Rhinolophus ferrumequinum: one gene and its partners. The protein of the gene in region 1 purifies or fractionates together with the protein of each later gene. This does not show direct contact. Links are inferred from orthologs where the notes say so. Each region holds a gene or a part of one and is shown in the gene's direction. Other genes may lie near its edges. The genes, in order: CNOT1, CNOT8, TNKS1BP1 and TNRC6C.

Region 1 (7,379 bases):
TTTAAATTACACAAATAAAACATCCTCTTGGTAAAAAGTTCGAATACATAGTATAGTAATATATGGAATAAAAAGCAAAAGTTCGCTTTACCCTTCCTCATTCCACTTCACTCCCCAGGGATAACCATTGGTGTCAGTTATGATGTGTGTGTGTGTGTGTGTGTGTGTGTGTGTGTGTGTGTGTGTATCTTTCCAAAACCTTTTTTGCATTTAGTTATATGTAGATATAGACAGTTATTTTCTCCTACACAAATGGTAACATACAGATTATGCCATCGCTTTTTTTTCTGGTCACTTAAATTTTGTATTTAACAATATATCTTGGAATCATTTCATAACAGTACATATAGATTTACCTCATTCTTTTAAAAAGAGTTCATAGCATTCCACCGTATGACAATACCATACATTTATTTAACCTCTTCCGTATTGTTTCCAATCTTTTGGAGCCTCATAAACAATGCAGCAGTGGATATCTTTTTTTTTTTTTTTTTTGGTCAAAATTCACTTTGTTTTTTAACTTTATTTCATCGGAATGGGATAACAAAATTGGCACACAAAGGACACTGATACTGGGCCTAATTACAGAAAATGCCTCCAGATAAGTGGTAGGAAGATGAAAGAAACAAAAATAAACAAAGAAATTGGAGTTTTCAGAAAGTGAGTTCTGGGCCCGCCTGGTAGCTGGGGTGGTTGGAGCGCGGTGCTCCTAACACCGAGGTTGCCAGTTTGATTCACAAATGGGCCAGGGAATTGCGCCCTCTACAGCTAAGATTGTGAACAATAGCTCTTCCTGGAGCTGGGCTGGCGCAAGCTGCCACGGAGCTGTGTCCTACACAACTAGACTGAGAAACAATGGCTTGAACCAGAGTGGGGCGGGGGAGGGGGGGAAGAAGGGGGGAAAAAAAAACGAAAGTGAATTCAAATGTTAGTTCTGCCACAATCTATGACTGGAGATGAGTTGTCCTGTCTAAGCCTGTTTTCTCCTCTGTCATTGGATTTGAGATCACTCACTTTACCACTTTAACAGTCTGAACCAGTCTTTTGTCACTGGTATGTCCCTTTTTGGCCATGTGACACCACACTGGTCCAGGCTAAGGAGAGAAGGCCACAGTGGTTGAGTTGCTTTGAGGATCTGGACTTGGCTCAATAAAACCACTTGGTTTGCTCAGATCGGGCAGCCTGGGCCCAAAGCTGGGCCTGACAGTCTGGTGACACCACACCTAAACCTTAGGTACCAGGGAACAGAGGGATGAGGAAGGATCAGCACCAATTCTGGAGTGAGGAACCCAATGAAAATAGAGCTCTCCAATTCTGGTTCTAATTTTTCTACCCAGGCTGTTTTAAATCAGGTTCTTCCCAAATGAAAAAGATCTCAACTCTTATGCAACCTGTTCTCCCCCATCTTTTTAAAAATCTTTTTGTTTTGACAAACTTGTAAGAAATCAAGACAGCTTTTCCATAGGTGATGCCTCTTGGACCTTCATCTCCCTGATTGCCATTCTCCCATAACTAAATGCAAACTCTCCCAGGACTGTGCTTTGTCTTCCCAGTGTCCCAAATGCTCAATATGCTTACAGTAGATGCTGTTGAACAGGTGAATAATCCCCTCACCTGGACTGAAAGGCCGTGTGTGTGGGGAGGGGAGAGGGGTGAATGCTGATGACAAACCCTGGAATTAAGGTGAGACTCCTCATGAGTGAATATCTTGATACATTCATTCACCTCTGTACAAATTTGCAATATTCACTTGCAGAATAAATGTCTAGATATGGGATTATTGGGTCGGTGGGTCTGTGCATTTTCAATTTTGATAAACTTGGTCAAAATGGCTGCTATCCATAGAGGTTTTTAGCAATTTTTTACAGCAGCATTGAAAAGAAGGACCTTATTCCTCATCCTTGGTCTGTTAAAGAGGCCTTTTCTATCACTAACATTGTAATTCTATAAAGCTACTTCTCTGTTTCCTGATATTTCAGCACTTATTTGCTCATGTCTGCCATGTGCCAGGCACTGTGCTAGGTGCTGGGAATACAGCTCGGAACAAGACTAAAGCAATCCTTGTCCTTGCTGTATGTGAGGTCCTGAGTCTCATTCAGTTGCTTGAAAACACGAGACACGCAGTAAATGTTTGCTGAAAGAGTTGGCCTCGAACCAAGGAAAAGCAGGTGTCAAAAAGTACTTTTAGGTGAAATAAGCCAGTCACAAAAAGACAAATAGTGCATAATTCCACTCATATGAGATATTTCAAGCAGTCAAAATCTTAGAAAGTAGAATGGTGGTTGTCAGGGACTGAGGGAGGAAACGAGTTGTTTATGGGTATAGAATTTTAGTTTTGCAATATGAAACGGTCTAGAGGTCAGTCGCACACCAATATGCATCTAATTGACACCAACGTATGGTACACTTAAAAATGGTTAAGATGGTAAATTTTGTTACCTGTTTTTACCACAATAATAATAATAAAGTATGTTTAGGCACAAAAGGTAGTGCTTCTGAGCTTAGCCTCAAAACGGGGTGATGAGGAAGACACTTGATTTTTTATTTTTTAACAGGACTTTATTGGGGAACAGTGTGTACTTCCAGGACTTTTTTCCAAGTCAAGTTGCTGTCCTTTCAGTCTTAGTTGTGGAGGGCGCAGCTCAGCTCCAGGTCCAGTTGCCGTTGTTAGTTGCAGGGGGCGCAGCCCACCATCTCTTGCACGACTCTAGGAGTCTAACTGGCAACCTTGTGGTTGAGAGTCCACTGGCCCATGTGGGAATCGAACCAGCAGCCTTCGGCGTTAGGAGCATGGAGCTCCAACTGCCTGAGCCACTGGGCCTGCCCAAGATACGTTTTTTTTTTGAAAGGTAAAAGTGCCAACCAGTCAATGCTTCCTTTCCAGTGCTCCCGTCCTCCTCTGGGAACAGATGAGCATAAAATCTTATCATCTACTATAGAAAATACATTCTAGGGCCAGCCTGGTGGCTAAGGTGGTTGGAACACCGTGCTCCTAAAGCCGAGGTCACTGGCTTGATTCCCACATGGGCCAGTGAGCTGCGCCCTAGGTCTACAGCTAAGATTGTGAACAATGGCTCTCCCTGGAGCTGCGCTGCTGTGAGCAGCTGGAGGTTGGCATAAGCTGCTGTTGGCTGCTGTGTGTGCTGCCCTAAGCTACCGTGAGTCACCAGGAGTGGCCAGCAGCCACCATGAGTGGCCAGCAGCCAGAGTGAGTGGTCGGCAGCCAGCGTGAGCAGCCGGCAGCCAGTGAGAGCTGCCAGTGAGCTGCTGTGAGTGGCCCACCATAACCAGCGACTGGCTGCCTCAGCAAGGGGTGGGGGAGTGCAAGGCTCATAATACCAGCATGGGCAGAGGAGCTGTGTTCTACACAACTAGACTGAGAAACAAAGCTTGAACCAGAGTGGGGGCGGGGAGGCGGAAGAAAGGCGGGGGAATAAAAGAAAATACATTATAGAAAAAGATATGTTTCTATGTTTTTTCTCCCAAGAACAAATGGCACTGGTATCCTTTCTGGTACCGCTTACAAGGCATAAACCAAACGAGAATTTTAGCTTCCTATCTCTCTTTTAGGGGTCCCCTCTTCAACAAGTAGAATGAGAAGAAAAAGTTGTCTTGATGAAAGTGAGGCAAGCTAGGACCCAGTGGGGCCTGAGAGACTACATTCTCCAGCATGCACTGCTCCTCCCCGGGCGCAGTAAGTGACGGGAAAAGACGCATTACTTCTGCGACAGGAATGGGCCGGAGGGAGAGGAATACTGCATATCCCGGGACGCAGAACGTCGCCCTTCTAGTTACGGACTGGCTTGCTTTCTGATGGCTGGCGTTCCCCGCCAAAGGGACGCGAGGGTAGGGGGATGTTTAAGATTGGGAAGCCCCCCAGTCTACTGGACTTGACAAGTGGAAAGAGAAAGGAGTGAAGGAAGGCTGTTCCAGTATAATTCAAAGTAGTTCCCGCGCAGAGTGGCGAGGATTTATGGGGCCCCCTTCCTTATTTATTGTTTCTCAGAGGCAATGCCAGTCCCACGGCCCACAATGGTGAAAGACCTCCAGGGCAGGTGGGAAGTCCGTGAAGCCCCAAATCGAAGTTATCTGCGTCTCCCCATTGGCCTTCGCTCGGGCGCAGGCGCAAGGGCTCTGACTCCAGTCCCTAGGGACGGGAAAGCGGCAATTGGCCAAAGCCCTCGAAGTAGGACTCCGGATTGGTAGTTGCTAGCAGGAGCTTGGTTTCTTCCTTGACTTCTGCAAGTGATAGTGTGTGATTGGTTTAAATCCGCGGGCACCTAACGGTGATTGGGCGGGTGCCACGGGCGGGGTACGATCATTGGCTGGTGCTAGGACCAGCCCTCCTCGGGCGGGCAGCGAATGATGAAATGAGAACGGGGAGGGGAAAGGCCGCGACGTGAGCGCGCGACCTCCGGCGCCATTTTGTAGAGAAACAAGCGGAGTTAACCGAAGGAGGGGGTCGAGGAGAGCCGGAGTCGGGGACCCAGGAGTTTCCTGTGTCCAGCGCTGCCGGAGCCGCCTGAGGTGAGGTGGGCTAAGGCCGGCTGGCGGTGTCAGCTACGGAACGCGGGTGCTGAGGGGGGAAGGACTGGGGGTAGTAGTCCCGGGGCCACTGGGAGCGTTTACCGGAGCTCCGCGGAGTGAGGGGCGGTCGGGACGGGGAAGTGGCGAGACGGGAGAGGTCGGACTCTCTCCCCCTGGCTGGCGGAGTGTTTGGGCTGCGAAGAGAAGAGGCCAGGGCGAAGGCTCCCCAAAGCAGAGGGCAGAGCGCGGGGTGAGACCTGGTGGCCCTCGGCCCGGGCCTGGAGACTCTGAGGGCGACGGTGGCGGTAATACAGACGGCAGGGCCTCACTTCGCGCGGGCTGCACCCTCCTCAGACCCCACGAGCTCCTCAACTGCCTCTTTCTCCCTGGGCTCTCGGATAGGTGCAGTGGGCATTGGCCCCCGAGGCCTAGATCCTGGGGCGAGGGGACTGTGTTTGGAGTAGTTGCAGGCTCCCAGTTCTTTCCCGTCGACTTGGGAGCTGCCAGTCCCCCTCCCCCCGCCCCCAGCACGTTGTCAAACCCCGGGTGTTTCGGGTCCCTGCGGGTGGGAGGGGCGGGCGGGAGCGAGCACTTCCTTATTACTTCTGCCACAGGTTTTGTTCCACTCGCGCGCCCGCGGCTCACACTTTCTCCGAAGTTGGCCCCCACCCACTTGGTCCAGTGTCTGTGCTAAAGTGGCCGTTGTGCTCACCCATGGGAAGTGTCCCCCTAGTGAGCTGAGCCCTTGGAGGCCACGATACTGGTGAGAGATTTACTACAGGTCTTGGTAGGGTTGCCGAAGGCCAAACAATATTGAAATTTCACAGACTGAAGTGTCCTTTTTAAGTACCACCTCCTCCGCAGAATTCACCTAACCGGGCTCACACAGATAATTGCCACCACGAGGAGTAAGCTTTCTGGGTTAAAAACAGAAAATGCTTGATAACGGTGTTTGAAAATGTGTTTAAACTTGGAGGAGTAAACTTTTCCCCTGAAGTCACTCAATGAACTGTCACATTTCTCAGGTCTCTTAAAGTCAGTTTTCTTCCTGAAAGCTGAGTAATAATACTTAATCTCCACCTTCCATTATTTATAATTCGATTGCCTTGAGGGATTTATGTTAACAGTGAGTAAATAATTAAGAGAATATAATTTCAGTATTTTTTGCAAAAAAAATTTCGAGCATTTCCCTATGACAGTCTGATAGGAATGGATGAAAAAACGGGAGGACAAGTAAAAAATTTGGAAGTAGGTGAAACAGGTTAAGAAGAAACTTGTTTTTGTAGACATATTTGGTTTTAATGTTAGTGATCTGTGGCCCAGGTTGACATTTCTACCCTTCCAAAGATTGGCAGTATAGTATTTTAGCTGTTAATAATATATATATGGTAACAGTTTAAATAATCATGTTTTAGGAGACTGCATATTGTTACCTTGTCTAAGGAGAAAATGAGCTGATGATACATAAAGTTTTAGACCTCTAGTTGTGCTCTGAAATGGTAGCTTCTTGATAAAACTTGTTTGGAGAGTTTGTCCCTTTTCAACAAGTGTGGATCCCAAGTCCTATAGTAGAAACTTAAGTTTAGAATCAAGGCACAAAGACTTGACCATTAATAACTGAAAGTGTTTCCCTTTCTTGCCTAAGATTGTAATCTTAGAAGTTTTAAGTCAGAAGTTTTGAGGCATGGTGGAACAACTGAAATACTCTATTTCTAGTCACTAAATTTCTGTGAGGGTTTAAATCCTGTCTCTTTAACATGGATCTTGTCAGGCTAAGTACTGTGATATCCTCCTGACTTTGGGTTAGAGCATTGAAAACAAAACAAACCTGTGGGGACAGAAGAGGAAATGCTTGCTATCTCATCAAAACATGCTTAAAGACTAATGTCATTATTCTTGCATGTTGCTTTTTCCAAGTATGTTTTTGGTTAGATTCTGGTTTAGTTAGGAAAAGCTTTCCTTTTAACCAGCTTAAATTTATGAACTGGAATCTTTACTTCATTCTACAAAGTAACAGATCTTTGGCACTCAGTGCCCCAGAAGGGAATTTGTCCACAATGATTATAATTGAATGCTCATATATTTTAAGACACTAATTTTTTTTGTTAGATGCCTGTGCTTCTTGAATTAACAAGTATTGTAGCCCGTCATTTTGAAACACTATATTTTATGAATGTGGTATATTCTTTTATGAAAGAACAAAACTAACTTTCAAGTCATTGAAAAATATTAGCCAAGCATTTCTTAAATGGCCCTCTCACCAAACTGAACTTGCTGCTGGGAAGTTTCAAAATGGCATCCCACTGATTCTTATTTTAAGACCTTATACTGTATATAGAAAAATCCTGCAGTTCCCTTTTCTGTTTGCTTACAGTTTTTAAGAAGCCTGTTTCAAAATTAAAATGGCCTCAAATCCTTTTGTCCTGTGTATACACAATAGTTTATTTCAATGTACTTTTCACATATACCTTTGTAAGGGTGTAGTAAAGCAAATAAAACATATTGTTCATTGAAAAGCATTGTTTGAGATGTCAGTAATTAGAGGTGTAGACTTAATCTGAAATCCTCTGTTGAGATTGAAGAAAAAGCAGCTTTTGGGAGTGTAGACTTGAAGAAATGTGCTTCCGTTTTCTTTTTAATTTTTTATTTTTTCAATTGGGGAGCATTGTGTTTTACCAGGACCCATCATCTCCAAGTCAAGTCGCTGTTTTTTCAGTCTAGTTTTTTTTTGGTTGGGGGGGGGGGGGAGAGCGCATCCCACTGGGCCATGTGGGAATCACACCCTTGACCTTGGTGTTGTGAGCACTGCGCTCTAACCATTGAGTGAACCGCTCTAACCATTGAGTGAACCG
Region 2 (7,710 bases), on another chromosome or scaffold:
CTGCAGAATGCAACACCTTCCCTGTGTGGCTCTCCAGTGTAGACTGTGAGGTGTTGCTGTGCTAGGTGTGTATCTTGAGCTGCTGTGGCTTTGTGGTTAAGAGCATGAGCCCTGGCATCACAAAGCTTGAGTGTGAAGCACGGTTCTGCCTATGTCACATCTCAAAGCCTCCATTTCCTCATGTGAACCATGAAGGTTATTACAGTACTTGGCCTTGAAGATGTAAGCATCTGCCAGTGGTGCTGGGAAGGAGACTGCCCTGGTCTGACAGATTGGCTTGGCTCTTAACGGCCAAGCGTTGGCTTCGACACTTGGGATCCAGTCCACGCCCGCCAAGCTAGACCTGGAGGAAGCCCCCTGGATGGCTGGCCACTCTTGTCCCACGTGAGGGGGACTGTGAACCAGGCCAACAGCTCTGGTTCAAGAAGGGGCTTTGCGAAAGCTTGAGTCAAGGGCAGCATGTTTCGCCCATTCTGCTTTCTGGAGGGCTGGGCTGGGGCAGAATGCCCTGAGAACGGAGGTGATTCACCCCGGCGCCTGGGCAGATCATGGAAAGATGTTCTTCTCTGGGCAAGAAGCCAGGATGTGATTTGGGTGGAGCGGGCAAAGAACGTGGGTTGAAGAATCAACTTCTTCCTTGTTGGATAAGAAAAGTCTCCTGGAGGTTGTCAGAGCACCAAGCAGGTAAGGCAGGCTCAGGAAGCTCTGGGGCTCCCTTCCCGGGGCCACTCCTGGGCCAGGAAGGAGTTTGTCGCAAGCAGTGTCCAAGCCTCGTTTATCAGGGATAAACTAAGTACGATTGGTTGAATTGAGTAACTGGGAAGGAGGACCTGCTTGGAAAACAACCACCACTCACACATTCAGAATCCGTACTGTCCATCTGGTATAGGGAGTCCACCATTGTTTCCACAGCTATCTCCGTCACTCATGACAGCTGTCACCATGGTTTCAGCATCCGGCCATTGCTGTCCCTGCTCCCATGCCTGAGGGTGGAGCTGCCTGACATCTTCGGGACTCAGCCCACTGCCAGGCTGAGCCGATCATTTCTGTTCCTAAAATGCTGACCAGAGTGCTGGGGGGTAGCCAGGCAGCGACAGCGTGGGTCCACAACAGTGGTCTTGGCTGGTTGGCTCTGAGATTTGGGCCCAATTACTTCCTCCCTAACCTTCTAAAGCAGGGGAGCCTTGTACACCATAACTTGGCTCACCCTGGCCATAGTCTCAGGGGCCAGTGATGAGAATTTTGAGTGTGGCTTTAGTTCCTGCTTTCTGGGCTTTGACCAGGAGTTGCTGCAGCAACTTACCGGTTCATTCTTGCCAACCTGAATTCGGTAGCGGGCGATGAAGTTGGGTTTCCCAGTTGTGTCAACCACCAGTAGAAGCCCATTTAAGCCCCAGAAGCACAAACTGGGCACCTGGGTGGCAGCTAAAGTTGGAAAGCAGAAGAAGGTTGGTTGTTTAATCGGGGTGACTTCAGGTTCTCACAGCACATGGATTAACTGGACACACACTTGATGGTAACTGAGGCGGCACTGGGGACAGTCCCTTGCCACGGAGGTCTTGGTGCACAGGGCCAGGGGATCTACTTTTAGTCTTAGATGACAAACTAGCTGGGGGAACTTGAACAGTCACGTAAGGAGTGTCTCTACTTATTTTCTTAGTTGTAAAAGGGGGACAAGAATATTCTAGATGGTTGGAGACCCCCAAAAAGTATATGCTCTAAAATAGAAACGAATTTAGGTTGACAATTGGAAGTCCGTACCCACTGAATCCTTTATGAATTTCCATGGAAGGGAGAAGCAAAGGAAGTGCTTTGTATGTTATGGTTCACAGTGAGCCCTGAACTAGGAGTCAGTCAGGGAACCTACTGCCTGTCATCCTCCTAACTGAGCAGTGTGACTTCAGGTGTCCAGTCAGCATTTCCCAAAGCAGGAAACTCTCTCTCAAGGGGCTTCTTGGTTAAACAGCTTTTCTACCATACTGTCTTGCAGAGTCATGGTCGGGACTAGTGTGTTAACAGCTCTGAGAATTCCTGCAGCAAAGAAACTGTTTGACTTTGTTAAACTCAACCTTTCCCAGGCTTTTTTTTTTTTTTTTTGTAACCCCAGAACTCTTTTCTCAGAATACCTAATAGGATGGCCATGCATCTCTGTTTGCCCAGGACTATGTCGATTGACATCTGTCTTTCCAGTATAATTATTAACACCTCATTTACTCTCACAAATGTCCCTATTTGGATAATGTATTATATGGTCATCCCACAGCACTGTGTTCTGCAGGATGTATTAGCAAATACCGATCAAGACTTGACATTTAGAGAGCTTTTTGCCTCACATCCCATCTTCCCATGAAGTCATTCCAAGTATCGCTGATGTCCTACTGTGAACAAACAAGCACTTTGTCCACCCCAACTGGCAGTTAATCAAGTGACATCGCAATGTTACGTAACTCTTGTACTATTAACTTTCTTTGTCCATGTTTTCCCTCCTCTTAATTCATTATCCAAGGGACAAGGACATTTGACTTAACTCTGTGTCTCTGTGTCCCTCCTCCATCACCACACTGCCTTGTGGCAGTTGATTCCTGAAAAATACTTGGCCAGCACTGTGGGGAAATATGATTGGCACAAATATCCCAGAGGATACTAGTAGGAAATGAACTAAATAGATGAGAGTAATTACATACATTGGAATGGACTGGGCAGCTTAAAATGTTACGTAAATCTATATTAACTGACATGGAAAAGTGTCCACAATATATTTAACGAAAAAAAAAGTTTTAAAAAATTTGGTGTCTTATAAGTTCAACCATATATCCAGTTTAAGATCTGTATTAATATATTAACAGTGCTTACTTCTTGGATGGGAGAGAAGGGGTGCTTTTTCAGCTTTATGCTTATTTGAATTTTCTGGTTTTTATTTTAACAGTGAGCACGCATTTACTTTTATGTTCAGACATAACACACTTTAAATTGTTAGGTTTGTGGTTGCCTACTAGGAAATCCAAGGGTTCCTTGAGGAACACAAAATGCAAACCACAAAAAATGGTCTTGAACTTTCTTCAAGCTCTAACACTTAAAATTGCAAATACTTTTCTCTCTCTGATATTTTCTTATCACCTTGGTGACAGATAGTTTTCCCATCACTGTAACAGGAGTATATAGAATGTTTTCCTGCCACTTTCCCTATATACATTTGCAATCGGCATTATTCTTTTCAATGGCTACTTAAGATTGCATGGAACCTATTTATATTTAATTTTCAGAGTTGTCCTTCCAGCTGAAAACAATCGTCAGGGACATTTTATTTGTACTTTTGCTTTGTGACAACTGACCCTTTTTTATCTCCCCCTTTAGATTGTGACGTGGTTTTTTGATGGGATAGACTAACACTTTATCTTAAACATCTCTCTATCCTCGGTACAAATTTGGCACAGAGTAACATTAATAAATATCATTTGAATGAATAAATGTATGATTGAGGACAGTCAATATTGTAGATAATGCTGTTATAAATATGTTGAAATGGCTTTTGCTTCCACTATGTTTTCTTAGGCTTGTTTCAAGCCATTCATGCTGTCAGTAAATACTGAGTGACCACTTGCTGTCCAGCCTCCAAAGCTAGATGGCACCAGGTAGAAGGACACAGCCTCGCATGACATACAAGGGCTCTCTGCGCTTGTGGACCTGACATCTAGAAGCAGCATTACTGCTTGAAACATGCCTTTATTTTCACACAAACTATTTCTTGTTTTCATTTTTCTACTTTTGGGGAGAGGGCGATCTCCATTTCTCAACTTCTTTTCTTGGATAGCCTTGGACGTCTGTTCTAGATTGCCCACAAGCTTAGCAGTTTGGGGGTTACACTGTCTTAAACTTTAAATCCTTATTCCTTGTAATAATGAGCTGAGAGTCCCAAGGTAGAGAACAATAGAAAAAGAGTTAAACTATGATCACGTACGCAAACCCTAAGCCCTGGTGGTCTGGGAGGCTCACCTATTATGAAAAGGATCCACTCCTTTCCTTCAAATGTAGACAGCAACCTCTCCCACTCAGCTTGCCAGAAGTGGCCAGAAGCACCCCAAAATCTCTGAAGATGCCTTGAAAGGAAAATCAATCAGGTTTCTGGGTGAAGATTGATGGGCGGACAGCCCCTTACTTCACGCTTTGCCCCCAGACCACCACCACACTGTCCCCAGGTGCTGAATTCAAGCTGGTGGAGCAGACTCACCATGTGACTGAGTTCCAGAAGGCCACAAGCAAGAGAAGGCCAGAGCCCAGGATGAAAGCAGTCTTCCTCATGGAGCCCCAGATATGTCCCTCCTGGGGAGGATAAGAAAGTGTCAGGTCCCAGCTAGCCTCCTGCCTTCACTCACAGCTCACAGCTGAGGCCTGACAGGTGTGACAAGCAGTCAGGACCTCAAGCACGCGAGCATTGCACGTCAGTGACCTTTTCCCAGTTTCTGTGGGAGGCTCGTCCTTATCACGAGCTCTAGGGCTGTACATGGGTGTGTTTATGAAAACGAGAGGTCAAGGTTGGGAGAGGGAAAGGAACCAACCTGGCTCCAGAGACACTGGCAGGTAAGTCTGTCGCCCAGCCTTCCATCAGCTGTCTTCTTGTTGAACTGAGATGCCCAATTATGTACACATTGCAATCACCTGGGAGCTTTTTAAAAATCCAGGAGTCCAGGTCCCTCCCCAGCCCAAGGACATAGAGTGTTTGGGGTGGAGCCTGGGCCTCCAGGTTTTTAAAAGCACCCCAGCTAATTCCAATGGGCAGGCAAGGCTGAGACAGCCATCACAGAGAACCTGCAGAATCCGTCATGAGGACAGAGGGACTTCATTGTATTCAGGAGCCTGGCCTGTTTTCCCATCCCTATCACCCTCTTGCCCGTGAAGAAAAGAGTGAATGAACACACATGTTCTGCCTCTTAATGATCCCTCTGCCTTCCAGCGAGATCAGCCAACTGGACAGGACGATGAGCGGTTCTAAGGGCAAAGAACAGACCACTGGCAGTCGCTGGGAGGTCCTTCTCTGTTCTCCTCCAAGAGCCTAAAGTAGAGGTTATTGCAAGTGTGGTGCTCAAACGAGCTCCCAGACTTGGAGAAGGAAAACACTGGCCTCCAGGTGAGTCACGGGTTTCCCTGTGCCGTGGACAGGAACTACAAATGGCCCTCCCATCCTGTTTCTAAGCCCAGAGGAAGCCGTCCTGCTCAGGCTCTTCCATGGGACAGAACTGGAGGTGGCGGTGCTTATAGCTCTGTGCTGGGCTGACGTGTATTTAGGGAGCTGGGCCACTTACGAGGGGTCGGGGTGGTGTCGGGGTGGTGTCGAGGGGAGCTGATCAAACAGCACAGACACTACGTTTTAACCCAGACGTTTGAGATCTGAAGGAGCAGATTGTGTTGACTGACCCATTCAGAGCAGCCTGAATCTGCACTGAGTCATTTCTTCTTGGCCTGGCCTGTTCTACTCTTGATCAAAAGACCAAAAAGAAGGAGGTCATCTTCCATGGCCTGTGGAAAGTTTTTAAAGGGCTGGTGTTCATCTGGGTCTTGAGATCTAGAAATGAGCTTCTCTCTCCCTTGTCCCTCACCTTCTCCCTCTCCCTCCTCCCCGCTTCTTCCCTCCCTCTCCCTCAGGGCTGGATCCACAGGCCGATAGGAACTTGTTCTCTTACACAGGCCATTCAAAGGTCACCACCCCAAGCTTGTCAGGCAGGTTACCTTGGGCTTTTGAAATTATTCCTTTTCTTGGATTCAGAGGACCCTTTTCATGAACTTTTCCAAACTCACTAGGAAGTTTTCATTTGAGTTTAATCACATCAAGCTAAGTCAAGTTGAAATCCTCAATTTCACATACAGGATTAGATTTTTTTCAGGGATTATGGTGTTTTCTCTCCCTCCAGCACCCCAAGTGAAAGGACTATACACAGGACAAAGACCTCTGTGAAGTGCGGGAGCTCACAATGCAGAAGGCAGCTGAGCTGAGATCAAGAGTTGGTTCCCAGCCCCCAGTGGGCTTCTCTTGTCCCCAGGGCAGTGCTAGAAAGGTGTGGCTCCAAAGGCCCAAGGCATGGGACATTCTAAGGGCCAAGAGACCGTGGCAGGACAGCTATTGGGTTTTGCCACTACCCTCATGCAGGGCTGCTCCGTGGTGCAGAAAAAGGGGCTTTGGTTATAAAGCAGGTTGGGGTCAAGTGGTCTCAGCTCAGCTACTGAAATGAGCAAATCACCAAAGTGTCAGCTACCCCTAAACCCTGGGGGAGATGTCAGATGTGCAGCAAATGCAGCAAGCGCACACATGGAAAGAGTCACTGGCTAAATTCTCACCAGTTTGGTGGGTGGGGTGCTGGCATTTACCTGCTTAGGCTTCTCATCATGTAGCTTACTTCCAGCTTCTCCCTTCATCTGGAAAAAGAAAGCACAGTTGAGTCTGGATGTCATTTTTACACGCAACCAAGGGAATAGGAAAGTCAAGGGGAATGGCTAGCTGTGATTTTTAAAGCTGGCTACTCATTAAAACCACCTGGGCCCCACCTCCAGCGACTGAATTGCTCTGGGCATCGCTACTCTGAATCGGGGTTGGCAAGGGGACTTTGCCTGGAACTGGCTTTCTCAGGTATGGTCTGTGACAAATCTATTTTTTTTTTTTTAATAGCTTCACTCTGCCCCAGAACGACCTGTCTCATTCAGAAGAAATCTCTGTCCCCGGACCCCCCACTCTTCCCTAACTGCCAATAACCCGTGGCCCCAAGAAACCAGGACAGAAGCCAGGGCTCTGCCCCCTACCTACTTAGACAGCTTCCTTAACCTCTGTGAAGTCAGGTTACCACACATGGCCTGGATCTGTCATGCCGATTGAAATCGAAGCATTTTGCAAGCTGTTCAATGTGATTCAAACAACAGGTATATTTACAGGTAGAAATCATTAAGACAGGGAGCCTCAAAATCTGATACCTTTCTCAAGGCCATCTCTCCGTCGTGTCTGTCACTTACCGGTTTTGTGACCCAGGACTTTTTCAGTCTCTTCTTTATCACATTTCTTGGTATTCTTTTTAAGTGTTTTTGCAACAAACTTAAAGTGTTTCTACATATTTGAAATAACGCATGACTTTTCTGGGAAGGTGACAGCCTGCGACAGTGGCTGGGTTTGGTGGGCGGGCACTTGAGTTGCTGGACAGTTGACTTTATTGAGTATCCCACTACATATTTTATTACAAATCTTTAATAATTAAAAGTGTGTGGCTAGCCCATGAATAGGCAGACATATATTACAGATTAGAAAGTCCAGACATACACCTAAAAATATATATGGGAATTTAGTATATGATAAAGAGAAATCAATATAAATGGACTTTCAATTGAACAGATGTTGAACCTCCTCCATAAAGAGAAATGTGAATTAAAACTACAATAAAATATTACTTCTCATCCATGAGCATGGCAAACATCCAAAATTTTGACCACGTGCCCTGCTAGTGAAGCTAAGGGGACTTATTTGTATTTGTTCTTACACTTTTTACAAATAATCTGTATTGATACATAATTCACATGCCATACAACATATCCATTTAAAAGTGTACATTTACATGGCTTTTAGTATATTTACAGAGTTATGCACTCATCACAATTGATTTTAGAATATTTTCATCACCCAAGAGAGAAACCTGCACCCCCTCAGCCGCCATTTCCCATCCTCCTTTCCTCCCA
Region 3 (7,977 bases), on another chromosome or scaffold:
GTGGGCTCGCCTCGGCCGTGCCCGGGCATGGGGTGGTCAGACGGTCCAGGTCTGGGTATCTGGGTGAGGGGGCAGGGTTTCCATGGCACACAACTGATGCCTTCTGTGTCGTTTTCCAGATGAGTCGTTTAACCCAGGTGAAGAGGAGGAAGACTTGGCAGAGGAGTGAGTTTTGGTTCCACCTTATGGGGGTGACGTGATGGCCTCTGAGCTTAAAGGACCAGAGATTTCTGGACATCTTTTGTGTCCCAGCATTACTACTGACCCAGGGTGGAAAAGTGACCTCCAGTGAGGTGATAGATGGAAATGCTTCAAAAATCAAATCGTCAAGCACTTTGTAAGTGCACGGCATGTTGTGAAGCCAGAGAAGTATAGTGGGGAGAGACTGGGGATGAGAGCCACTGCCCCACTTAACTTGCCGGAGTCCTTGGGTCCATCATTGAATCTCAGCGTTTTCAACTGTAAAACGACAATAGTGCCCCCGTGCTGTGTTGATCAAGACTCTTGATAGCCAGTGTCAGAAATAGGACTTGAACGGACTGTAGCTTAAAAGGGGATTTTGTAGGCTCATGTAACGAGAGTCCAGGGGTGTGACTGGCTTCAGGCACCTGGATCAGGCACTCAGCAGCTGTGGGGAATCTTTCTCTTTCTTCTGATTTCCCTATTTTCTGGTAGGTTTGCCCCATGCAGTGCCAGATGACCCTCAGAAGCTCTGGGCAGGCTTAATCCTACTCGTTTAACACCCAGGAATGCTTCTGCGCTCAGAGCAGCAGTAAGCAGCGTGGTTACGTGGCCCTTCCCAAGTGTGAGTTATGACGATACGCTCTGAGGGGCTAGAACTAGGCCGTGTGCCCACGGCCTGTGGTGGGGTTGGCCCCTTCTGCATGGGGCGTGGTGGTTCCCAACAGAAAGTTGGGACTCTGAATCCAGAAGAACTCAGAATGAATGTTGGGCAGGAAAAAGAAGAAAATCTATAGGAGTCCACTACTTCTGGGCGCCACGTGCTTGTTCATAGTGAGTCTGTGAGTTAAAGGCTTATGAAAGGGAGAACCATTGAGCACCGTGTGGTTTGGGCAGTTCTGTTTTCTGAGGAGTCCTGTGTGTGTCCGGTAGGACTGTGACAACATCAGTGCAGGCTGGGTTGGAGTGGAGTTGGTTTTTTCCCACTTTTTATAGTAACTGTCTCTTGATCAGAGAGACTAAGGGTAGAGTAAGAGGAGTAACCCGGAGTCGTGAGGTGGACTTGGACATGTTGCTGAGACCGTTTCTGTCCCCGTTCCCGGGAGCATGGGGATGGAGGAGGCCTTGGGTTAGGCTGTGACCAAGGGGAGCAGATGAAGTCTGTTTGCTTTTCTTTGACTGATTGACCAAATAACCCATTGCTATAGCTGGGTCTGGAGAGGGCATGGTTGAAGCCACCTCAGCGAAGGGCAGGAAGAGTTGGGGATGCTGGTGGAGGCGGCCCTGTGGTCCTCCCGCCCCCATTTCTGGGTGGGTGTCTTTGGACTCCTTTCCTGCTTTGAGACCATGGGGTGCCATCCTCTGTCCCTGAGTGAGTCTAAGCCCCACTCTCCTTGGCAGGTTTGATAGCAACGCCTCTGCCAGCTCCTCCAGTAATGAGGGTGACAGTGACCGAGATGAGAAGAAACGGAAACAGCTTAAAAAGGCCAAGATAGCCAAGGATCGCAAGAGCCGCAAGAAGCCTGTGGAGGTGCTGCTTCTCCTGAATGGGAGGGTGCTGGGGTGCTGCTCCCTGTTCTCCCGTCCACCACCCTTAGGGCCTGTGGGTTGGGGCTGCTTTTTGTAGCCAGTGATTAGGGCCTTGAGGAGTAGCTTCTTGCAAATATTTCTCTCTAGTCCTTGAGATAATTAGCTTCTGGGAGTTCTGACCTAGGAGACGGGCTTCTTTTGTCCTGGGAGCCCAAAAGAAAGGGGCCCCTAATGAGCTAGGTACTGGCGTGCAGAGGGGAGGAAGACGTGGTCCCTGCCCTTAGGGAGCTCCTAGGCAGCTTGATGCAGTTTAGTCCTTGCTCTGTTTTGTCCCTAGGTAGGGGATCCAAGTAATTTCTTTGGGAGAATGTGAGGGAGAATGTGGGCTATAGTGCTGAAGGCCTTTGGGTTCTTTCTTGTGTAGGTAAAGAAGGGCAAAGACCCCAATGCCCCCAAGAGGCCCATGTCTGCCTACATGCTGTGGCTCAACGCCAGCCGAGAGAAGATCAAGTCAGACCATCCGGGCATCAGCATCACGGATCTTTCCAAGAAAGCAGGCGAGATCTGGAAGGGGATGTCCAAAGAGAAGAAGGAGGTGAGTACCAGCAGAGACGAGGGGTGGTAAATCTTGTAACTGGTAGAGGGGGTGGAGGGCCCTGGTGGAACTTCTGTATAGGTTTTGCCTGTGTCAGGGAACAATCTAATTCTTCTCTTCCCCACCCCCCGACCCCTGTGTGTGTGGGACAGGAGTGGGATCGCAAGGCTGAGGATGCCAGGAGGGAATATGAAAAAGCCATGAAAGAATATGAAGGGGGCCGGGGTGAGTCTTCTAAGAGGTGAGTGTTGGGAACAGAATGTCCCAGTAACTGCTTTTTTGACAGATATTTTTTGCAGGTCCAAGTTGAGAACTGGGAAGTTAAATATAACAGAGATGCTTCTGACTTCAGTAGGACAGTGCTTCTCAAACCTGGGTAGGCAGTTGCCCAGTATGGGTACTGTGCTAGAGAGTTTCTGAAGTCGCTGGATAAATATGGCCCATTTTCCTAGAGGGTCAATTTTATTTGAAGGTACGGGGTAGCTAAAAATATATATGTTACTATGGTGCCTAATTCATACGAATTTTTACGATAAAGCAAGAGATGTCAAGTTAAGTTTTGCATATAACCAGGCTGTGAGGCCTGATTCTTCTTGTTCTTCACTTATGATGCTCTCTCTTGGGGCACTTGGGCTGACATGGCTGGCTGATGACACGAGATGGGCAGTGTGGCTGGGACTGGGAAAGGCCCTGGTAAAGCTGGGGGAGGTTTGACCTTGATGATGGGGAAACCTTTTCCCTCTTGCTAATAATAGGGACAAGTCAAAGAAGAAGAAAAAAGTAAAGGCAAAGATGGAAAAGAAGTCAGTGCCCTCTAGGGGCTCGTCATCCAAGTCGTCGTCAAGGCAGCTGAGTGAGAGTTTCAAGAGCAAAGAGTTTGTGTCCAGTGACGAGAGCTCTTCAGGAGAGAACAAGAGCAAAAAGAAGAGAAGGCAGAGTGAGGTGTGGCAGGAGTTTGGGGGTTGTGGGGCTTGGAAGGGTGAAGGGCATCTGAATTGGTATGGGGGGTGGCAGCAGGTGCTTCTGCACCAGGGATTGTGGTTGGTCCATAGCAGTAATGGGATGGAATGGATAGGTGGAATTCTGGGGTTCTGAAGACTAGTGTTGGACGTTAGGGAACGGTAGGGAATTAGGGGCCCTTCACCACTGACAAGTGGCTGGGAGGGCAGCCGGGACTCTCCACCTTTCCCCTAAAGAGACGTTTCATTTTCAGGACTCTGAAGAAGAGGAATTAGCCAGTACTCCCCCCAGCTCAGAAGACTCGCCGTCAGGATCTGATGAGTAGAGAGGAGGAAAACACTCTCTCCTTGGGCTTGCCCTGTCCCACCCGACTCCCCACTCATGTTTTGGTACCAGTTTCTCATATGAAGTGTAGTCTTTGGATTCTGTGCCATCTGAACAAGCTCTTCTGGTGGTGTGCACTTGGCTGGGACAGCAGGGGAGGCGTCTTCCTGGGTTGCTGCTTCACGAAGATGCCTCTTCATAACTGGGGGAGAGATTGGGTGGGAGGCAGGGCAGTGCAGGTTCCAAATCCTCGCCCTACTTTCCCGACCTTAGGGATATAGCTGCTGCTTGTCCTGTTCAAGTTGCTGCAGCTGGGGTCGTGTGAGGTCAGGCCTGTAGCTCCTAACGGGGGCCAATTTCTACTTTAATTTTGTATTTCTGGTTCTGTGAAAATCATTTAATAAAGGGAACTGACTTTGGAAACCATGTCCTTATGCCTCCTCTCTAGCCCTGTTGTATTGCGCCCACTTTTCTTGGTGGTGTTTACCACACTGCTGTGACTGGGCAGGCCTTGCTGGCCAGCTGGGAAGCAAGTCTCCAGGTACATCCTGTTCTGTTCCCGGCTGGACAAGCATTGGTTTTCACCCTCTTCAGCAGGGATGGGCCACCTGAGAGTCTAGAAATGAGAGCTGATCTGATTAGGAAGTCTCTCTCACAGCTCCACTCCATTAGCCAAGCTAAGGAGAGGCAGCTACTGGCTCCATCCTTAATCACCTATGAGTCAAGGGTCTTCAAGGCTTTAGATAATGGAATCAGGATTGACTGGCCTCTCTGCAACCAAGACACTGGAAACCTGATCCTGGAGAGTTGGGACGATGAGTGGTGTGGGGGTGGAGGTAGCTTTTGTTTTTATATGAAAAAGGGTATATCAAATTTTGAGGTCAGGAAGAATTTATATCTGGGAAGGGAGCATAACGAGATAAATAAGGAGTAGTGAGGGAAATAGAGCTTCCAGTCTTCCTCACTGTGGCTCCAAATCTGAATTTACACACGTGGGGTGGCCACGTTGGGTAGGCTCTAAGGTGCTTGCCACAGAAAGCCTCCGCAGTCGGCCAAGGGTTACCTTCTTTCTCGCCGCGACTCTATGGTACTGCGATCAGTTCAGGCCGTTGGGCCTGAGAATCGGGCCGTCAGCTTAAGTCTCCTCTCTAGGCAGTCGTCTCGGTGGCCATTTTGCCCCAGCGTTTTTAGCGGCTGAATTGCGTCAGTTTTACCCGGGTCTGAGGCTGGGGCGGGCCCCTCATTTGCAAGATTCATGAATAATTGAGTACCTGGGCTGCTGCTATTTGCATACGGTCAGGCGAGTTCTGCACGGGCTTCCCACTCCGGGTTTTCACTGTCTCATGGATATTCATGAAGCGCCCTAGGGGTGTGGGCCTGGGCGGAGCTGGGGCGGAGCTGAGGGCGGGGCCCCGCCGGGGCCCGCTCTGGCTTGGTCCCCGGTGACGGCGGCAGCAGCGGCGGCGGTGGCGGAGACTGGCGTCGGGGTGCCGAGCCCGAGCCGAGCGGAGCCGGATCCCGGGGGAGCGCGTGAGTGCGCGGGGGCGGGCAGGAGGGCGAAGGAGGGGGCGGGGTCCGGGATTGGGGCGGGGGAGAAGCATGGAGGGAGTGGGTGCTTTTCAGCCGGGACCTCGGGTTAAGGTGGAAGGGGGGTGAACGGGAAAGTTTGCAGGGGCCGGGGGCGCGGGGGAAACCGGGGACACGCGGGAGCTGGCGCATGTGCGCGAGGCCGGAAGGTGCACGGTCTGGAGCTCGTGCTGGCCGATCCAGAAGAAAGGGGGGAGGGGGCGAGGGCTTGAGGCGGGGCCGGGGGCGGGCGGAACTGCTGGAGGGACCCCTGCCTCCCCCTTCCCCAGGGCCCGCGCTAGCCCCCTCCCTCGGCTCCCTCGGCACGCCCCCAGCCACCCCAGTCCGCCCCCACTCGGTCTGCGTCCTCAGTCCCCCGTCTGTTCGCCGGCTGCTTCACATTCTGCGTACAGGTCCTCCCGTTCTGCCACCCCCTTCTCCTCCTCCACCCTCTCCTCCTCTTCTTCGGCTGCTGCCATCCCCTCTGTGTCCAGAGCTCCCCACTGGGCCTCTCCAGAAGGCCCCTCGCCCCAGGCTGTTCCGTCTTCCCGTTGGCCCTCCCTCTTCCAGCAGTTTACGTGCTGCCCCTGCCTACCTCTCTGGCCCTGGATCCGCTGGAGATCCCAGGGACCGTAGAGGCGACCCCGCCTGCGCGGATGCCTCTCGGGGCCCCTGTCCCGGGCAGGAGCTGCCTGGCCTCTCCGCAGCCCTTGTGGCAGCCTTTGCTCCTGGGGGTCAGATAGGCCCCCCCTGACTCCTGGAGGTTGCAGGGAGTGCTCAGAGCCGCTGTGATTCTGCAGCTTTTGGCAACGGCCTTGATCACCTGCGTTTCCTGGCTGGGGCCTCGGAGCTGCTGTGGCCCCTCCTCAGTTGGGGAAGCTGAGCCCCCACTTCATTGCTGCACCCCCTCATACTGCAGAGGTGCCCATCAGGCTCCCAGGTGAAAGAGTTTTTCAGTTCTGGGCCAGTTTGTCCGCATTTCTAACCACCTACACCATGTCCCTTGTGATAATGTTCAAGGACAAGGAAACAATCTTGTGTTTTAATTTTATTTTTTCTATCATGTGCCCTTCCCCCATGCACTCTTGGGCTGGCTGTGCAGTTAGTTACTTACCCACCCACAGTGAGCAGTCCTCTGTGGAAGGTGGTTGACCAAGGGAATTGATGGTCCTGGGTTTCTCTCTACTTAGCTCTTCATACTCTCTGCCATCTTTGAAGCAACTTGGGGCAGGGTCAGAGGAGAGGGGTGGGCGAGTTTTGCAAATGTTGGGCATCAGAAGGCCTTTCTTAGGAGTTGGTGCTGTTTTCCCAGACCAGCTGCAGTGGGTGACTTTGAGGAAGGCAGTGCCCATTGGGTTGTCCTCAAGGGCTCTGTGCATACCAGGTGATAGGAAATGTCCTTCTTCCTTTGTGACAAGAGGGGCAGTACTTTGTCCCCCAGGCTGCAAAGCCTGGGGTGCGGGTGTTGTGGGTGGGATGGTGCTCCAGCAGCCAGGATGAGAACTAAGGAGGTGGTGGAGTGTCTGAAGGTGACATAACTGGGACCTGTGTGAGTGAGGGAATGGTCTGGGGAGAGGAGGTGGTGGTTACCAAGGATTTTAGCTCATTGGTGACACCGAATGGAATTGTACTAATAATTGCCAATATTTATTGGGCACTTATTATGTGCTGGGCGTTATGCTAAGCAGTTTGCATGCATCAACTGCCATAAACCTCCCAACAGTCTCAGTAACTCCATTTGTCACATAGGGAAACTGAGGCTTGGAGAAGTAAGTGCTGTGCCTAAGGGCACACAGCTAGAAAGTGGTAGACCTACCCAATATTGAATCCTCGCATATCAGAACCTGAAGCTTGTTCCTGGTACTGGCTTATTCGGTTTCTACCATAGGGCTGTGTCACTTGGTTTAAAATTTCTTGTGCTCCCTCAAAACTCCTCAGGCCAACCCTAGGCTGGTGAAGGCTGCCCATAGGCTGTGGCTGTCCCATCCTCACTGTCCTAGAAGGGGGAACCCCGGAGTGTTTTCCCCCAAGCCACCCCACTCCCGGATGTTCTCAAGCCTCAAGCCTTGTCCCATTCTCCCAGCCCAGGCCTGGGCCGGCTCCTCCTTCCTCTTGGCTCCGCTCTGGAAATCCAGTGGGAGGCCATTGCTATGGCAACAGGACTAGGCCCTGGCTTTACCTCATCAAATTCCAAGCTGAAGCCAAAGCGATTGAGAAATTAAAGAAAAAAATGTATTCCAGATGTTTACTTCTTATTCCTTATTTTTCCGTGTTTGGATGAGACAGCTCTGAGGGAAGCGGGAGTTGGGCAGGGATATGGAAGGAGGAGGGGGGAGGGGGGAAGAGGGAAAGAGGGAACCACTCCCAGCTGCAGGAGGGAGGGAGGGAGGGAGGGAAGGAGGGTGAGCGGAAAGGGGGAGGCTGGCAGTGGGGCGGAGCCCCAGGTTGGGGAGGAGCGGGTTTTTCCCGTCTCCCATGAGGTGATTCACTGAAAGACTAAGACTTTGGGGCCCTCTTGCTCTGCCCCTGAGTATATACCTCAGGTGGGGCTGCTGGACCCAAGGGGTACCCTGGGAACGGTAAGTGGGGTATCTTAGCTCACCAGAGGAGGAAAGAATAGGTAGCTACCTGAAACTTCAGGACTTTGGGGTTCGGGGGCCAGAGCTGGAGAGGAATCTGGGAAGAGTTGAGGATATGGCAGCTGGGGACCTCCCTCGACCTCCCTCATCCCCTCTGAAGTTCCCTCTTCCTGTCCCACACTCTGCCTCAGCTAGGAGTAGGAGACTTCCCTCGACCACGCTTACTGCCAGCGCCCAACTCTC
Region 4 (6,930 bases), on another chromosome or scaffold:
TCCTTCAGCTTTTTCTTGTTTGGGAAGCTCCTTATCTGTGCTTCAATTCTAAATGACAGTCTTGCTGGGTAGAGCAATCTTGGTTGTAGGTCCTTGCTTTTCATCACTTTGAATATTTCCCGCCACTCCCTTCTTGCCTGCAAAATTTCTGTTGAAAAATCAGCTGCCAGTCTTATAGAGGATCCCTTGTAGGTAACTAAATGCTTTTCTCTTGCTGCTTTTAAGATTCTCTCTTTGTATTTAACCTTTGGCATTTTAATTATGATGTGTCTTGGTGTGGGCCTCTTTGGGTTCATCTTGTTTGGGATTCTCTGTGCTTCCTGGGCTTGTATGTCCATTTCCTTCACCAGGTTAGGGAAGTTTTCTGTCATTATTTCTTAAAATAGGTTTACAATTCCTTGATCTCTCTCTTCTCCTTCTGGTACCCCTATCATGCGAATGTTGGTATGCTTGATATTGTCCTAGAGACCCCTTAAACTCTCCTGAATTTTTTGGATTCCTTTTTTTTTTTTCTGTTCTAGTTGGGTGTTTTCTGCCACCTTCTACGTCGCTGGTTGGATTCTCTACTTCATCTAATCTACTGTTGATTCCCTGTGACATATTCTTCATTTCCGTTATTGTAGCCTTTATTTCTGACTGGTTCTTTTTTATGGTTTCCATCTCCATTTTTATGCCTCCTATCTCTCTGTTGAAGTTCTCATTGAGATCATTGAGCATTCTTATAACCAGTGTTTGGAACTCAGCATCTGATAGATTGCTTATCTCTGTTTCGCTTAGCTCTTTTTCTGGAGCTTTGTTCTGTTCTTTTATTTGGGACGTGTTTCTTTGTCTTCCCATTTTGGCTGCCCCCGTGTTTGTTTCTATGTATTAAGTAGGGCTGTTATATCTTCTGGTCTTAGTAGAGTAGCCTTCTGTAGTAGGTGTGCCATGGGGTTCAGTGGTGCAGTCTTTCTGATCACCTGAGCCACGTGCTCCAGGTGAATCCCTTGTGTGGGTTGTGTGCGCCCTCCTTTTGTAGTTGAGCCTTGGTTGATAATTGCACATCAGTGGGAGGGACTGACCCTCGGGCTCACTGGTTGTGAGGACTGGCCTTGACTCCAGTGGAAGGGTTATGCAGGGGCTGACCCTACAGAGCAGGAGCTGCCTTAGCAGGGCTCTGGTGCCTGTCCAATTTGCTCCTTGGGTGTGTCGTACTTGGAGGCGGCTGGGTGATGCTCCAGCTCGTTTTGAAGCTGGCCACTGGGGGCGCCAGCCCAAGGACCACCTCGGAGGGGATCGGCTGTAGGTCAAGTTCAGCCACAGCCCATGCCCCACCTGGGGCCACCCAGCGGGAGCCAGAAAGAAATCCTTATCGTCTGCCGCCCGTGCTCTACTTGGAAGCGCCTTGAGAGGCCAAGCCACAAACCAAGGCCGGCTGCCCCTAGTGCCGGCTTAGGGCTGCTCAGCCAGAGGTACAGGACACGCTCAAGCCAGATGCTACTTGTTTAGGTTCCACGAAAGTCTGCAGGTTGAGCCAAGGCTCAGGAGGTCTGCATGAAAAAGCCACTGAAAGCAGCCTGGGTGTGCCAGAATGTTGGGTGGGGTGGGGCGGGGCAGGACGGGTTGGGGTCTCAAATTGCCAGGGAGACTCAGGTGGGGAAGTAGGAGGGCTCGACAAAGAAACACTGGCCTCCACCAGCTCCCCTATCCCGGAGAAAGCCGCCTCTCCAGCCCCCGTCCCAAGCCAGACAACTCAGTTCCCCAACATTTGTTCCTGCTGCCTCTGCCCCAGCGCTGGAGCTCAGAGCAAGTGATTCCACTGGTGGGTAAGTCCGTGTGGTCCCTTTAACAGGAGTGCCTGGGAGTGCAGTCACACTGTCTCACTCAGTCACAATCTCCGCTGGTTTTCACAGCCAGAAATGATGGGGACTTCTCTCCCCGGCACTGGGACCCTGGGCTGGGGGGATGCCCACAGCCGAAATATCCCTCCCGATCTTTAATGGTCACACGTGGGTGAGGGACCAGCCCGTTCCACGTCTCTGCCCTTCCTACCAGTGTGGAGGTGGCTTCTTCTGCACGTCTCTAATTGAAAGGCTTCTGTTGTTTGATTTTAGGCGATTCTCAATAATGGTCGCTTTGTAGATTAGTTGTAATTTTGATGTGGTTGTGAGAAGGTGAGCTCAGCGTTTACCTACTGCGCCATCTTGGTTGTCGTCTCATTTATTTCTTTAATGTAGTTATTATATAAGCTGGTTTTTATAGTATGTACAAAACCAACAGGGAAAATTGTCATAAACCAGAGTTGCAGAGCCAACCCCTAATATTTGGTGATAAAAAACGTAGTTGTTTTATAGTACTTTTGATACTTAAAGTTTTCTGTTGCCTATCTCTGTTCCCCTTTGCAGAGTTCACCTGGAATACCTACCTACTTTAGAATTACCTAGGGCATAATTCTAAACTCATTACATTCCTTTTAAATCAGGCAACAAAAATTGTTTATTTGTGTTTGTTTTTAAGGTTGAAGTTAGCTTTAATATGTTCTTTCCAGTGATAGTGGTAATTCTTTACATACTTCTTTTTTTTTTTTAACTCCATCAAACTTTAAAAGAGATTTCTTTTGGGAAACTCAGTTTTACTCTCCATGAGTAAGCTTTTTCTTGTTAAAATAAATTTGAAGAGAACATAATGATGAAAAGGTTCTAAAAGAGAAGAAAACTTTTGTTGCAATTATCTGTATATCGTACTATGTAAAGAAACTGTCAAGGATTTCCAAATTGCGTGAGTTTGTTGTATGTACAGGTAACTTTATTTTTTTTTATATTTTTCATTTTTAAGGACACATACTTCAAATAAAGTCTGCTGGAAAATTCATTGGAATATAAGTTTGATTGCAGTGTTAGAAATACCCAAATAATTCGGAAATCGTAGGAGATAAAATGCAGGTACCAAATACTGAATTCTTTAAAAGGATAAGAGTGAAATGATATAAATACTTTAGGAAGATACATAAAATTATTCTGAGAATCTCCAAAGAAGAGACTGTAATTTAAGGAAATAGAAAGCAATTGTAGAAGGAATCCTTAGAGATCAAAGAAGGTACCAGATGTGGGGCTGAGAATATTCTTTGTTGATGCACAGGAAACAGTGATAAAGCATAATTGCTGGTAACAACAGGTGAAGTAGTATAAATGTCATTAAAGCTTTCTAACCTTTACTACCCTTGATAACATACGATAGCATTTTCTAATACCTTCTCTCTCTCCCTCCCCTGCCTCTCTCCCCCCATTCCTTCTTTCCCTCTCTCCCTGCCCATCTGTCCCCCACCCCCAAAACATTGGTCCTGTTATATGATTCTGCAAGGCATTTACAATCCCTGTCTACTAAATGAGCCGTGTAGCCTCTACACAATACTGTAACTCTTGAAGAGAACTACACATTGTATTGAGGCATCCATGTGAACTTCTTGTTGTTGCCAGTGTTTCCCAAAGATTTGGGGTATTTATAGGTGTTGTACAGTTGCATAAATTTCCGAAGTGCTATACATCGCGGTTACGGTTACGCAGCTGTCTGTGCTACAGATGCTTTCATAGCCTCTCATGTGCTAATGAGCATTGTGAATCTTCTCCGGAGGAGTGACAGTTTGGTGTGGTGGTAACAATTACTGTGATTTGAGAAGCGTTATCTCTGTTTTAAATGGGAGCTGTGAAGGGGACAAATAACTTTTCTTCAAGTCGTGTTTTAGCATTTGTCATTCAGAATTGAAACCTTGAAATAATGAGCTTCCCCCAAAGACTAACTAACAGTTGATTCATTGACAGATGGGAGGAAAATCTAATTTTGAATGTTTCGTCTTTTTCAGATCTCAGTCACAGTGGATTGGCAGATCATTATGAAAGTTCCCACTGGGGACAGCCGCCCACTTACAGAAGTGAAGCCAACTGCAGCTGGGATAAAGTGATAATAGATAGGACTGATAAGGAGGCGTGGCCTTCCATCACAGGAGCAGAGCCCGAATCTGCCTCAGAATGTACTACAGACACTGACTCTGCCTCCAACTGTGGCTCAGAGAACAGTAGCATGGCTACAGGGAGTGCCCAGGGCAGCTTCACTGGACATACCAAGAAGACAAATGGCAATAATGGCACCAACGGCGCACTCGTCCAAAGCCCTTCTAATCACAGTGCCCTTGGAGCAGGGGGAGCCAACGGCAACGGAAACGCAGCCAGAGTGTGGGGCGTAGCCACAGGCGCCAGCTCCGGCCTGGCTCACTGCTCTCTCAGCAGTGGGGATGGGAAAATGGACAACATGATTGGAGATGGGAGAAGTCAGAACTGCTGGGGCGCTTCCAACTCCAGTGCTGGCATTAATCTTAACCTTAATCCCAATGCCAACCCCGCTGCCTGGCCTGTACTGGGACATGAAGGAACTGTGGCGACAGGCAACCCTTCCAGTATTTGCAGTCCAGTCAGTGCCATAGGTCAAAACATGGGCACCCCGAATGGGACCCCAGCAGGCACTTTAGGTGCTTGGGGAAACTTGCTGCCGCCAGAGAGCACAGAACCACAAACGTCCACTTCTCAGAATGTGTCTTTCAGCGTACAACCTCAGAACCTTAACACTGACGGACCAAATAACACTAACCCCATGGACTCTTCCCCAAACCCTATCAATGCAATGCAGGCGAACGGACTGCCAAACTGGGGCATGGCCGTCGGCATGGGGGCCATCATCCCGCCCCCTCTGCAAGGCCTCGCTGGTGCTAACGGATCATCAGTTTCTCAAGTCAGTGGGGGTGGCGGTGAGGGACTCGGCAGTTCTGTGTGGGGACTGTCCCCAGGTAACCCTGCCGCAGGAAATAGCAATTCGGGGTTCAATCAGGGGAATGGAGACACTGTGAGCTCAGCATTAAGTGCTAAACAAAACGGATCCAGCAGTGCTGTGCAAAAGGAAGGAAATGGGACGAACGCCTGGGACTCGGGCCCTCCTGCTGGTCCTGGAATCCTCGCTTGGGGAAGGGGCAGTGGCAGCAATGGCATGGGTAATATCCATTCGGGAGCGTGGGGCCACCCCAGCCGAAGCACCTCGAACGGTGTGAATGGGGAGTGGGGCAAGCCCCCGAACCAGCATTCCAGTAGTGACATCAGTGGGAAAGGATCAACAGGGTGGGACAGTCCTAGTGTCAGCAGCCAGAACCCTGCCATGCAGCCTGGCAGTGAACACATGAACTCTTGGGCCAAAGCTGCGTCTTCTGCAACCACCGCCAGTGAAGGCAGCAGCGACGGTTCTGGCAGTTACAATGAAGGAAGCACGGGGAGGGAGGGGGCGGAAGGCCGAAGGCGGGACAAGGGGATTACAGACCAAGGGCACATCCAGCTGCCAAGGAACGATCTCGACCCAAGAGTTCTGTCTAATACTGGATGGGGACAGACTCCAGTAAAGCAAAACACTGCCTGGGAATTTGAAGAATCCCCGAGGTCGGAGAGGAAAAATGACAATGGGACAGAGGCCTGGGGTTGTGCAGCTACTCAGCCTTCAAACTCAGGGGGGAAGAACGATGGGTCCATCATGAACAGTACAAATACCTCTTCAGTATCTGGGTGGGTCAGCTCCCCGCCTGCTGCTGCGCCAGCAAACACAGGTTGGGGAGACAGCAGCAACAAAGCGCCAAACGGCCCAGGGGTTTGGGGGGACTCGATAAGCTCTACTGCTGTCACTAATGCTGCTGCTGCCAAGAGTGGCCACGCTTGGAGTGGGACCGTAAGTCAGGAGGACAAGTCGCCCACCTGGGGTGAGCCTCAGAAGCCCAAATCTCAAAACTGGGGAGATGGACAGAAATCAAATCCCGCCTGGAGTGCTGGAGGGGGGGATTGGGCAGACTCGTCTTCTGTCCTTGGACACTTGGGGGATGGGAAAAAAAATGCCTCTGGATGGGATGCTGACAGCAATCGATCAGGGTCTGGTTGGAATGACGCTACAAGGTCTGGGACCAGTGGCTGGGGCAGCGGCACAAATGCAAAGGTGAATCCAGGGACAAACTGGGGAGAGTCTTTAAAACCTGGCCCCCAACAGAACTGGGCGAGCAAACCCCAGGACAACAGCGTGAGTAACTGGGGAGGAGCCGCTTCCGTTAAACAGACAGGAGCAGGGTGGATCGGGGGGCCGGTCCCCATCAAACAGAAGGACAGCAGCGAGGCCACGGGCTGGGAAGAACCTTCTCCGCCATCCATTCGCCGCAAAATGGAAATTGATGATGGTACCTCAGCTTGGGGTGACCCAAGCAACTACAACAACAAAACTGTAAACATGTGGGACAGGAACAACCCGGGCATCCAGGGCAGCACGGCGGTCACCACCGCTGCCGCCACCACCACGAGTAACAACACGAGCGTGGTCGAGACGCCGCCGCCACCGCTCCAGGCCAGCGCCCAGCTGAACCGGTCGCCGCTGCTCGGTCCAGGTACGGGATGTGCTTTCTATTATTTAAAAGTTAAAAAGCATTTATAGTCATCAGACTCGTGTTTTCACAGCAGATGGCATTAAGTGCCCTTCACCGTGTAGAATTAAAGCAGGATTCCCTGAAAGCGCTCTATCCAAGAAAAAAATATCTTAAGCACTTTTCAATGGAAAGGAGAAGGAAGAAGCAATAAATGCATCCTCTTCAGGAAAGACGGGGGACCGTTGTGTTAGTCTGTGTTCACTTAGAGTCTCCATTTCTTTATGAGATAAACCAGTGGTGCTCAGCCCCGGCTCTCGTGGGAATTACCTGGGAGCATGGGGCAGGGAGTACGTACTGACCTCAGAGGAGGTTTCTCGTATCACCCGTCTGGAGGGAAGCCCGTCCGCTGGTGGGTCTTAAAGCTCCACGGGTGTTTCTGATGTGTGGTTAACACTGAAATAAAACCATTCTTGTAAAACGTGAATGGCGTTATACAAGTCATGTTTTTATTTCAG

The links.
Region 2: the proteins of CNOT1 (region 1) and CNOT8 purify together in Homo sapiens (co-immunoprecipitation; 5 studies listed by BioGRID and IntAct, with this or other methods). This does not show direct contact. The link is inferred for Rhinolophus ferrumequinum from reciprocal best matches to the Homo sapiens genes CNOT1 and CNOT8.
Region 3: the proteins of CNOT1 (region 1) and TNKS1BP1 purify together in Homo sapiens (affinity purification with mass spectrometry; 5 studies listed by BioGRID and IntAct, with this or other methods). This does not show direct contact. The link is inferred for Rhinolophus ferrumequinum from reciprocal best matches to the Homo sapiens genes CNOT1 and TNKS1BP1.
Region 4: the proteins of CNOT1 (region 1) and TNRC6C purify together in Homo sapiens (co-immunoprecipitation; 4 studies listed by BioGRID and IntAct, with this or other methods). This does not show direct contact. The link is inferred for Rhinolophus ferrumequinum from reciprocal best matches to the Homo sapiens genes CNOT1 and TNRC6C.

What each region holds. Positions count from the first base shown.
Region 1 is NC_046298.1:10,854,779-10,862,157, reverse strand, and holds the start of CNOT1 (CCR4-NOT transcription complex subunit 1), read left to right. Parts: upstream 1-4,374; 5' UTR 4,375-4,527; intron 4,528-7,379.
Region 2 is NC_046307.1:25,680,784-25,688,493, forward strand, and holds the start of CNOT8 (CCR4-NOT transcription complex subunit 8), read left to right. Parts: upstream 1-4,695; 5' UTR 4,696-5,125; intron 5,126-6,360; coding exon of another isoform or gene 6,361-6,408; intron 6,409-7,710. UniProt on the Homo sapiens protein: Has 3'-5' poly(A) exoribonuclease activity for synthetic poly(A) RNA substrate. Its function seems to be partially redundant with that of CNOT7.
Region 3 is NC_046294.1:11,763,800-11,771,776, forward strand, and holds the start of TNKS1BP1 (182 kDa tankyrase-1-binding protein), read left to right. Parts: upstream 1-4,965; 5' UTR 4,966-5,119; intron 5,120-7,596; exon of another isoform or gene 7,597-7,734; intron 7,735-7,977. Other genes in the region: FACT complex subunit SSRP1, read left to right, coding at 120-165, 1,582-1,711, 2,135-2,305, 2,458-2,546, 3,061-3,247, 3,519-3,590.
Region 4 is NC_046304.1:52,115,921-52,122,850, forward strand, and holds the start of TNRC6C (trinucleotide repeat-containing gene 6C protein), read left to right. Parts: upstream 1-3,918; 5' UTR 3,919-4,056; coding exon 4,057-6,436; intron 6,437-6,930. UniProt on the Homo sapiens protein: Plays a role in RNA-mediated gene silencing by micro-RNAs (miRNAs). Required for miRNA-dependent translational repression of complementary mRNAs by argonaute family proteins.